Saccharomyces cerevisiae S288C: one gene and its partner. The protein of the gene in region 1 binds, or shares a complex with, the protein of each later gene. Each region holds a gene or a part of one and is shown in the gene's direction. Other genes may lie near its edges.

Region 1 (5,059 bases):
TTCTTGTACGATTAATTATTTTTTTTTTGCGTCCTACAGCGTGATGAAAATTTCGCCTGCTGCAAGATGAGCGGGAACGGGCGAAATGTGCACGCGCACAACTTACGAAACGCGGATGAGTCACTGACAGCCACCGCAGAGGTTCTGACTCCTACTGAGCTCTATTGGAGGTGGCAGAACCGGTACCGGAGGAGACCGCTATAACCGGTTTGAATTTATTGTCACAGTGTCACATCAGCGGCAACTCAGAAGTTTGACAGCAAGCAAGTTCATCATTCGAACTAGCCTTATTGTTTTAGTTCAGTGACAGCGAACTGCCGTACTCGATGCTTTATTTCTCACGGTAGAGCGGAAGAACAGATAGGGGCAGCGTGAGAAGAGTTAGAAAGTAAATTTTTATCACGTCTGAAGTATTCTTATTCATAGGAAATTTTGCAAGGTTTTTTAGCTCAATAACGGGCTAAGTTATATAAGGTGTTCACGCGATTTTCTTGTTATGTATACCTCTTCTCTGAGGAATGGTACTACTGTCCTGATGTAGGCTCCTTAAATTGGTGGGCAAGAATAACTTATCGATATTTTGTATATTGGTCTTGGAGTTCACCACGTAATGCCTGTTTAAGACCATCAGTTAACTCTAGTATTATTTGGTCTTGGCTACTGGCCGTTTGCTATTATTCAAGTCTTTTGTGCCTTCCCGTCGGGTAAGGGAGTTATTTAGGGATACAGAATCTAACGAAAACTAAATCTCAATGATTAACTCCATTTAATCCTTTTTTGAAAGGCAAAAGAGGTCCCTTGTTCACTTACAACGTTCTTAGCCAAATTCGCTTATCACTTACTACTTCACGATATACAGAAGTAAAAACATATAAAAAGATGTCTGTTTGTTTAGCCATCACAAAAGGTATCGCAGTTTCTTCTATAGGCCTCTACTCTGGTCTTTTGGCTTCCGCTTCATTGATTACATCTACTACTCCACTAGAGGTTTTAACAGGATCCCTTACTCCCACTTTAACCACTTTGAAAAATGCGGCCACCGCCTTGGGAGCGTTTGCGTCAACTTTCTTTTGTGTGAGCTTTTTCGGCGCTCCTCCCTCATTGAGACACCCCTACTTACTCTATGGTATGCTTGTAGCTCCATTATCTTCATTTGTTCTAGGATGTGCCTCCAACTATCAGTCTAGAAAGTACAGTAAAGTCTCTAAGGAATCTTCTTTATTTCCCGAAGACAGCAAACTCGCTGCTTCCGAACTGAGCGATTCTATTATTGATTTAGGTGAAGACAACCATGCTTCAGAAAATACACCTCGAGACGGGAAGCCTGCAGCAACCACAGTATCAAAGCCGGCAGAGGCATTGCACACCGGTCCCCCAATCCATACTAAAAATCTAATTGCAGCAACTGCTATTGCTATTGTTGGCTTTGTACAAGCCGTTATTGGCGTTTATGGGGAAGGACAATTTATCTAGTGTTTCTCGTTCACGTATTTATCTCTACAAGAATTTGTAGCTGCCTGAACTCGGCTCCTCTCTCTCTCCAAAAATAAAGTGTGTAGTAATTTGCAGTTTTTTTATATATTCCTACGAGTTTTCAAACGTTCAAAAGACAGTATGTTCAAAAATTGTGCATACACACACGTATGCACATATATACATAATAATACACTGTAATAAGCACATTTGTAGGTGCTCTTGCACTTGGTTTATTACTGTCACTGACTTTTCTCACCCGGCCGAGAGTCGTGCGAAAATTCGCATGTTAAAGTGAGAAAATAGAGAAAACAACACAGCTGAAAAAAGTATTGGTAACAGTTCAATACGTGATCAAATATACAGCACGTCGCGCAGAACCAGACGAAGCGGAGAATATTCTACATTGACAGTGCATGATGCCTGATGACAATTCAAACTCGTCCACTCAAAACTCAAGCGCATTATACAAGGACCTGAGGAAAGAATATGAATCTCTTTTCACTTTAAAGGAAGATTCTGGGTTAGAGATTTCACCAATATTCAATGTCCTTCCACCTAAAAAGGATTATCCTGACTACTACGCAGTGATCAAGAACCCTGTATCTTTCAATACTTTAAAAAAGCGTATTCCACATTATACAGATGCTCAACAGTTTATGAACGATGTTGTCCAGATTCCATGGAATGCCAAGACTTACAATACAAGAGATTCAGGAATTTATAAATACGCCTTAGTCCTTGAGAAATATTTAAAGGACACAATCTATCCAAATTTAAAAGAAAAATATCCTCAATTAGTGTATCCTGATTTGGGTCCTCTACCCGATGAACCAGGTTATGAAGAGTTTCAACAGAAATTAAGAGAAAAAGCTGAGGAAGTAGCGAGAGCTAATGCAGCCAGAGCCGAGTCGAGCTCTTCAATGAATTCAACAGAAGCAGCCAGAAGATTAAGAAAGACTCGTACTTCCGTCAAAAGAGAATCAGAACCAGGAACCGATACAAATAATGATGAGGACTATGAGGCGACGGATATGGATATCGATAACCCTAAGGATGCTGATTTTCCTGATTTGATAAGAAAGCCACTAATAAATATTAATCCATATACTCGGAAACCATTAAGAGACAACAGGTCCACTACTCCATCTCACTCAGGCACCCCTCAGCCGTTAGGCCCAAGGCATAGACAGGTATCCAGAACTCAGGTAAAGCGTGGGAGACCCCCAATCATCGACTTACCGTATATTCAAAGAATGAAAAATGTTATGAAAGTACTAAAAAAAGAGGTGCTAGATAGTGGAATTGGTCTAACTGATCTTTTTGAAAGATTGCCCGATAGACACAGAGATGCAAATTACTACATCATGATTGCTAATCCAATTAGTCTTCAAGACATAAATAAAAAGGTAAAGACTCGTCGTTATAAAACGTTCCAGGAGTTCCAGAATGATTTTAATCTTATGTTAACCAACTTTAGAATTTCGCACAGAGGTGATCCTGAAAGCATAAAAATTTCAAATATCTTAGAAAAGACCTTTACTAGTCTGGCAAGATTCGAACTATCCAAACCTGATAGAAGTTTCATTCCAGAAGGCGAGCTAAGATACCCTCTAGATGAAGTCATTGTAAATAATATATCATACCACGTGGGAGATTGGGCACTTCTTCGAAATCAAAATGATCCTCAAAAACCTATAGTGGGCCAAATATTCAGGCTATGGAAGACACCAGATGGGAAACAATGGTTAAACGCTTGTTGGTATTACAGACCCGAACAAACTGTGCATAGAGTGGATAGATTGTTTTACAAAAACGAAGTTATGAAAACAGGTCAGTACCGTGATCATTTAGTGTCAAACTTAGTTGGGAAATGCTATGTGATTCACTTTACTAGATATCAACGTGGTAATCCCGATATGAAATTGGAGGGTCCCTTGTTCGTTTGCGAATTCCGTTATAATGAATCCGATAAAATTTTTAACAAGATTAGAACCTGGAAGGCTTGCTTACCAGAGGAAATTCGTGATTTGGACGAAGCTACCATTCCGGTAAATGGTAGAAAGTTCTTCAAATATCCTTCCCCCATAAGACATCTACTACCAGCTAATGCAACGCCGCATGATCGCGTTCCTGAACCAACGATGGGATCCCCGGACGCGCCACCATTGGTCGGTGCCGTTTATATGAGACCTAAAATGCAGCGTGACGATTTGGGGGAATATGCAACCTCTGATGACTGTCCCAGGTATATTATCAGACCCAACGATTCTCCCGAAGAGGGACAAGTGGATATAGAAACAGGTACGATCACCACAAACACGCCAACAGCAAATGCTCTTCCTAAAACAGGATACTCAAGTAGTAAACTATCCAGTTTAAGATATAACAGGTCATCTATGTCTTTAGAAAACCAAAATGCTATTGGCCAGCAACAAATACCACTGTCAAGAGTTGGTTCCCCTGGCGCGGGAGGCCCGCTTACTGTACAAGGTTTAAAGCAACACCAATTGCAAAGGTTACAACAGCAGCAACATCAATACCAACAACAGAAAAGATCCCAAGCATCACGTTATAATATCCCAACAATAATCGATGATTTAACATCGCAGGCATCAAGAGGTAATTTGGGTAATATAATGATCGATGCAGCCTCCTCGTTTGTCTTACCTATCTCTATAACCAAAAACGTAGATGTTTTGCAGCGTACTGATCTGCACAGCCAAACCAAGAGATCTGGAAGAGAAGAGATGTTTCCATGGAAAAAAACAAAGGGTGAAATATTATGGTTCAGAGGACCTAGTGTGATAGTAAATGAACGAATAATAAATTCAGGTGACCCACACCTAAGCCTGCCACTGAATAGGTGGTTTACCACTAACAAGAAAAGAAAACTAGAATACGAAGAAGTTGAAGAAACCATGGAAGATGTGACTGGAAAGGACAAAGATGATGATGGCTTAGAACCGGATGTTGAAAATGAGAAAGAGTCCTTGCCAGGCCCATTTGTCCTTGGATTAAGACCCTCGGCTAAGTTCACGGCGCACAGACTCTCTATGCTGCGGCCTCCTTCGTCGTCTTCATGATCACCTTTATTGTAAAAGCAATGGCAGCATAATATCTTCCCATTGCGCATTACCCTCCGCGAGCAGAGTCAAACTTCAAACAAAGCAGGAAAATGAAATAAAACAGAAGTTATTATATAGAAGAAAGTCATCTATAGATATATTATCGTTGTATTAATAGTAGCCATATAAAACAATTATACTTCATCACCAACCTCTCAAAATTTCTTCCCCAAGGACCAAAGCTTTTCCAGTAAGTTGCTACAACTAAAGTGAAATAAACTATCCGAATTATATAAAAGATGCCTGACTATGACAATTACACTACGCCATTGTCTTCTAGATATGCCTCCAAGGAAATGTCAGCAACGTTTTCTTTGAGAAACAGATTTTCCACATGGAGAAAACTATGGTTAAATTTGGCTATTGCTGAGAAGGAATTGGGCTTAACTGTTGTTACAGATGAAGCAATTGAGCAAATGCGCAAACACGTCGAAATCACTGATGATGAAATCGCAAAA
Region 2 (5,020 bases), on another chromosome or scaffold:
TCAAGATTATTTCAAGACTTTACAGTTAATACATAGATTTATTAAGTGGCAATATAAGGCTGACTCTATCAACGTTGCCATCCAAGATGGACCTGAGGCCGGACAGTCGGTACCCCACTTGCATACACACATTATTCCACGTTATAAAATAAACAATGTAGGGGATTTAATATACGATAAATTAGATCATTGGGATGGTAATGGGACTTTGACTGATTGGCAAGGAAGAAGAGACGAATATTTGGGTGTTGGTGGTAGGCAAGCAAGAAAAAATAACTCTACATCGGCCACTGTAGACGGGGATGAACTCTCACAAGGTCCTAATGTCTTGAAGCCAGACAGTCAAAGGAAGGTTCGAGCTTTAACCGAAATGAAAAAAGAAGCTGAGGATCTTCAAGCCAGACTAGAAGAATTTGTATCTTCTGATCCTGGTTTAACACAATGGTTATAGTTCAATAAATAATAGATTCATACTTACGATATAAAAAATAGTAGGGAAGTTAATTTTCGTTTCGCAGCGAATCCCTTTTAGCAGAGGAAAAAAAAGATGAAACCATCCTTACTACTTTCCTCGAGGAGACTCAACAGTAAAGGTTACTTTCAATTCAATAAACAAAAGGCACAGCGATATCCGCAATTATGAAGCTTCAATTTTTTTCCTTTATTACCTTATTTGCTTGTCTCTTCACAACAGCCATTTTTGCGAAAGAGGACACGGCAGAAGATCCTGAGATCACACACAAGGTCTACTTTGACATTAATCACGGTGATAAACAAATTGGTAGAATTGTTATGGGATTGTATGGTCTCACCACACCCCAAACCGTTGAAAACTTTTACCAGTTGACCATTTCCAGGGACCCTAAGATGGGTTATTTGAACTCTATCTTCCATCGCGTTATTCCTAACTTCATGATTCAAGGTGGCGATTTCACTCACAGATCAGGTATTGGGGGTAAGTCTATCTTCGGAAACACGTTCAAAGATGAGAATTTTGATGTCAAACATGACAAACCAGGCAGATTGTCTATGGCCAATCGTGGTAAAAACACCAACGGATCCCAATTTTTCATCACCACCGTCCCATGCCCATGGTTGGACGGTAAGCACGTTGTCTTTGGAGAAGTCTTGGATGGTATGGACGTAGTTCACTACATTGAAAACGTTAAGACCGACAGTAGAAATATGCCTGTAAAGGAAGTTATTATTGTGGAAAGTGGTGAACTGGAAACTGTTCCTTTGGACAATAAAGACGCCGCCAAGCTACAGGAAGAGATCAAAGCGGAAGCTAGCGAAGCAGCCCACGATGAACTCTAAACTGCATCACTATTCAGGAGATGTATAGGCCAGCTATGTAACTATATAGTGCTTATAACAGTTGATTATCACATAGAACGAGTATGTTACCCTATGGCCCTTTTCTGGCACAACTTCACAAGAGTATTTCAATTGACCAACGTGGGTCTTGTTGACCAGCTGGGATCACACAGACCAAGAACTACCTTTATTATTAGGAACATACTGCTTTCTGGACACTTCCACTGCTATACCTTCTCGCAAATAGCCATAGTTCACCAATATTCATTCGGCCCGTTAGACGCTTGTAAGACCACTTTCCCGTTTTCGCCCGAGAAGATATATTAGCTGCTTACATTAGATTATTTCATCAAAACTCACGGCTTTCAAACCAAAGTCATTGGTGCTCTGCTGCAATTGCCCCATACTACGCAGATATTTAAAATCGAGGTTTCTGTGATATTTTCTTAAGCTCTTATCTACAAAAATAGCATTTCAGAACCAAAAAACAACGATGGATATTCGTGGTAGAAAAATGAAAAAACCGCCTGCATGCGTGCAGTGCCGTAAGAGGAAGATAGGCTGCGATCGTGTTAAGCCGATTTGTGGGAACTGTATGAAGCATAATAAAATGGACTGCTTTTATCCGGACGTTCCCGGACAATACGTTCCCTCTAGTTCTTCCTCTTCCAATACACGCCAAGTAGCCAACGGTCCGTACTTAAACTCTTATTACGCTTCTCGTCGTGTCTCCAAGGAAACTGCTGCACTTTTGCAGAAAAATCCAGAACTGGCTTCTTTGGAGCAAATAAGAGAATACAACACGCGTCTGCAACTGCTCAATGCTCAAAATCAACTTAATAATAGATCATCTGCGGCAAATGCAACCTTGAATCAACAACACACTCAATATATTCCAAAATCAGTGCCTTCCTTGGAAAGTAAGCCAGTCACTTCTGCAAACGAATCTTCTACTCCACTCAATTGGGTTCAAGGCCCTGCAATTTTTCATATGCTAACCTCTCCTTACACACAAGATGAAATCATCAATCATGAAATGAATTTCTTGAAAGGCAGACTACTGGAATTGCAAGAAATTACAGGTAAGAAAATTACGGGAGTAAATCTTGATCTCAAGCAGGATTCCTCAGCGCAAATGCAGTCTTCACACTCCAATAGAAACCAAGAGGAGTTTTTGACAATTAAGAAAAGAAAACTGAGTGAAGACGGCGTTACGGACGGGGACGGTAAGCCAATTCCAGAGAGTGAAAGAAGACCTCATCTTAATGAATTTAAGGATTTAGATCCTCAATTTTTGGATACTAATAAAGTTTTTAATGTGTTTAATTCTGCTATTTCAGAAGAAGGTAGAAACAGATTATGGCTGTTACCAAAAAATATAAATAAAAGTTCTATCTTCCAGATTCAGTATTTGATTGAACGTGATCCTTTCCTATTCAAATTCTTCAATGACTTGAATATATTAATTGAAACGCAATTTAATGGACCTTTGCACGATTTGGTAGCAAGCCGTAACAGTATTGAGCGCAACAGTGGCATATCTCAAATATTAAAGTTTCCTTCACAATCGATAACACAGACCCTTATCAACAAATACTTATCCACGATAACGGAAACGAATTCAATACTTCCAATATTAAAACCAAAGAGACTATTACCCATAGTTGAGCAGCTTTTTCCTTCTAACACCATTAATAAGCCAAATTCTAAAGATTTTGAAACTATTTTTCAAGTTTTTAGTGTGACCAATGATCAGCTACTAAATCTAGGATTTATTACTCTCTGTCTCCTGATTCTTTTTGAATCGTTGAATTCTACGGTTTTGATTCCTCTTAGAGATGATGAACACTTGCAATTATTCAATGTGTTATTCAACTACTTGCCTTTGTTGAAGTCTAATTTAACAACGCTTAGATTTGAAATTGAAAAAAGGTCAATGTGTAATATAGAGACCCTGCGGTTTATTTCTTTGTGGAAATATTACCAATTTGTGATGGACACGTCGTCATCGTCCTCTTTCGTAATTGATTACGACGAAGATATGCATATGGCATGTTTACTATCGTTAAATCATGAAACTCAAAATCAATCTCATATTTTGACCTGGAATTTCATATTTAAGAACTACTGCTGGAGACACCTTTTCTTAGGTCAATTGCCGTTGCTAATGTCTGAACCTTTCACAAATTCTACCCCAATTATTGATCCTTTGTTGAACAACGATTTTGAATTGATTGATTTTGAAGTAAACTTGATGAAATATTTGCAAAGTAAAGATCAACAACTATCCATTGATAAAATTATACAGTTAATCAAGCTTTTGAAAAATAAGAATATCGAGGTCAGCCAAGGATGTTTAACGACTCCTTCAATAATTAATAATATCATGGATTCTCTAATCTACAGGAATTCAATGTTATATTTGAACTTTTACCTCTTATTGCAATTTGAAACATTGAAAAATTATGCTAAATTTAACGAAATTTTGGAAGACTTTTTGGAATTGTCGAGGGAGACCTTGTTCTTTGTTTTCTCGAACTTAGCCAATATTAAATTTGCTGGTCATGAATTCACATTCATCAATAAATCTATTGTGGTTCTGCAAACTTTAGTTTTAATGCTTTTGGCGCTCTATCAAAGGTCTTTTGATTCTTCAAAGAGGACGAATGATGCTAATGAAATCAGTGAGCAAACAGATATTCATAGTAATAACGACAATAGTAAGAGAATAAAGAATAAAAATGTTATTCATTTAATTATCAACAAAATTGCAATGTTGTTAAGTGATTATACCAAGAATTGTAAAAAGCAAAATAAACTCATCGAAAATCTGATTATTAAAATTAAGACAATCTCCAAGTATATCAAAAATCTTGAGGAGAATAAGGTAACGACTAGCGCCGATTCAAATTATTCCATTAATAACGGATTTTCTGGCATATCTGCAGAGCAGTTGATTAAATTAAATCACGAGTTGAGTAAAATTTCAGAATCTCTGATAAAAACGGATTTTTATGAACAGAGGAAAAATAGCACAGTTTCTAATGGAGTTTTAGGCGCAGCAGCTCCTGTTGATAGCGACGCAAATTCGGATACTTTCGGTTTAACAAAGGAGAATTTCAACGAAGTTTTTGAGGCTATTCGTAGCTAAAGCGACTCAAACAAATTAAAGAAGAAGTTGAGACTTTTATAGTATTTATTATTTAATCTGAGGATTTGTATTATTTTTTTATATAGAATGAATAAATCAGAAAAAGGAAATTATGAAAAGAAAAGAATGAGGAGAGTGGGAGATATTTAATGTTGTTAGCTATTTATCTGTATGGAAGTTATTACCTTCTTTTAAGATGGTACAAATAGCATATAGGTGGGTTTGGTATAAAGATCATTTAGTTTTTGTCATAGATTTTTCAATTGTGCATAGGACCAGTTTATGTTACCTCTATCATACTTATATTTTTTTATATACAAATTTTTAAATTACCGATATTATATATAGGCACCGATAGTATAGCCCACCAAAGCGCCCAAATAACCTCCAACAACAATAGGAATTGGCCAATTCTGCCAATCTCTATCCCAATCCAAAGGAATGACAACACAACTAATCCAACCCCCTACAACGATAAAGATAAAATACTTCTTCCATAATCCCACTTTGAAATCACAATTAAATACAGAATAAACTGCAGGGTATGCTAAA

Evidence for each region. Proteins that work in one complex are often made in the same cells at the same time.
Region 2: RSC2 (region 1) and RSC3 share a complex: the UniProt entries of both Saccharomyces cerevisiae proteins name them as parts of the two forms of the RSC complex.

The regions. Positions count from the first base shown.
Region 1 is NC_001144.5:839,442-844,500, forward strand, and holds RSC2 (Rsc2p), read left to right. Parts: upstream 1-1,889; coding exon 1,890-4,559; downstream 4,560-5,059. Other genes in the region: ATG33 (Atg33p), read left to right, coding at 880-1,473; YLR358C (uncharacterized protein), read right to left, coding at 4,046-4,609; adenylosuccinase ADE13, read left to right, coding at 4,841-5,059. UniProt on the Saccharomyces cerevisiae protein: Component of the chromatin structure remodeling complex (RSC), which is involved in transcription regulation and nucleosome positioning. RSC is responsible for the transfer of a histone octamer from a nucleosome core particle to naked DNA.
Region 2 is NC_001136.10:1,068,177-1,073,196, reverse strand, and holds RSC3 (Rsc3p), read left to right. Parts: upstream 1-1,810; coding exon 1,811-4,468; downstream 4,469-5,020. Other genes in the region: HNT2 (bis(5'-adenosyl)-triphosphatase), read left to right, coding at 1-451; peptidylprolyl isomerase family protein CPR5, read left to right, coding at 640-1,317; mannose-ethanolamine phosphotransferase GPI11, read right to left, coding at 4,807-5,020. UniProt on the Saccharomyces cerevisiae protein: Component of the chromatin structure-remodeling complex (RSC), which is involved in transcription regulation and nucleosome positioning. RSC is responsible for the transfer of a histone octamer from a nucleosome core particle to naked DNA.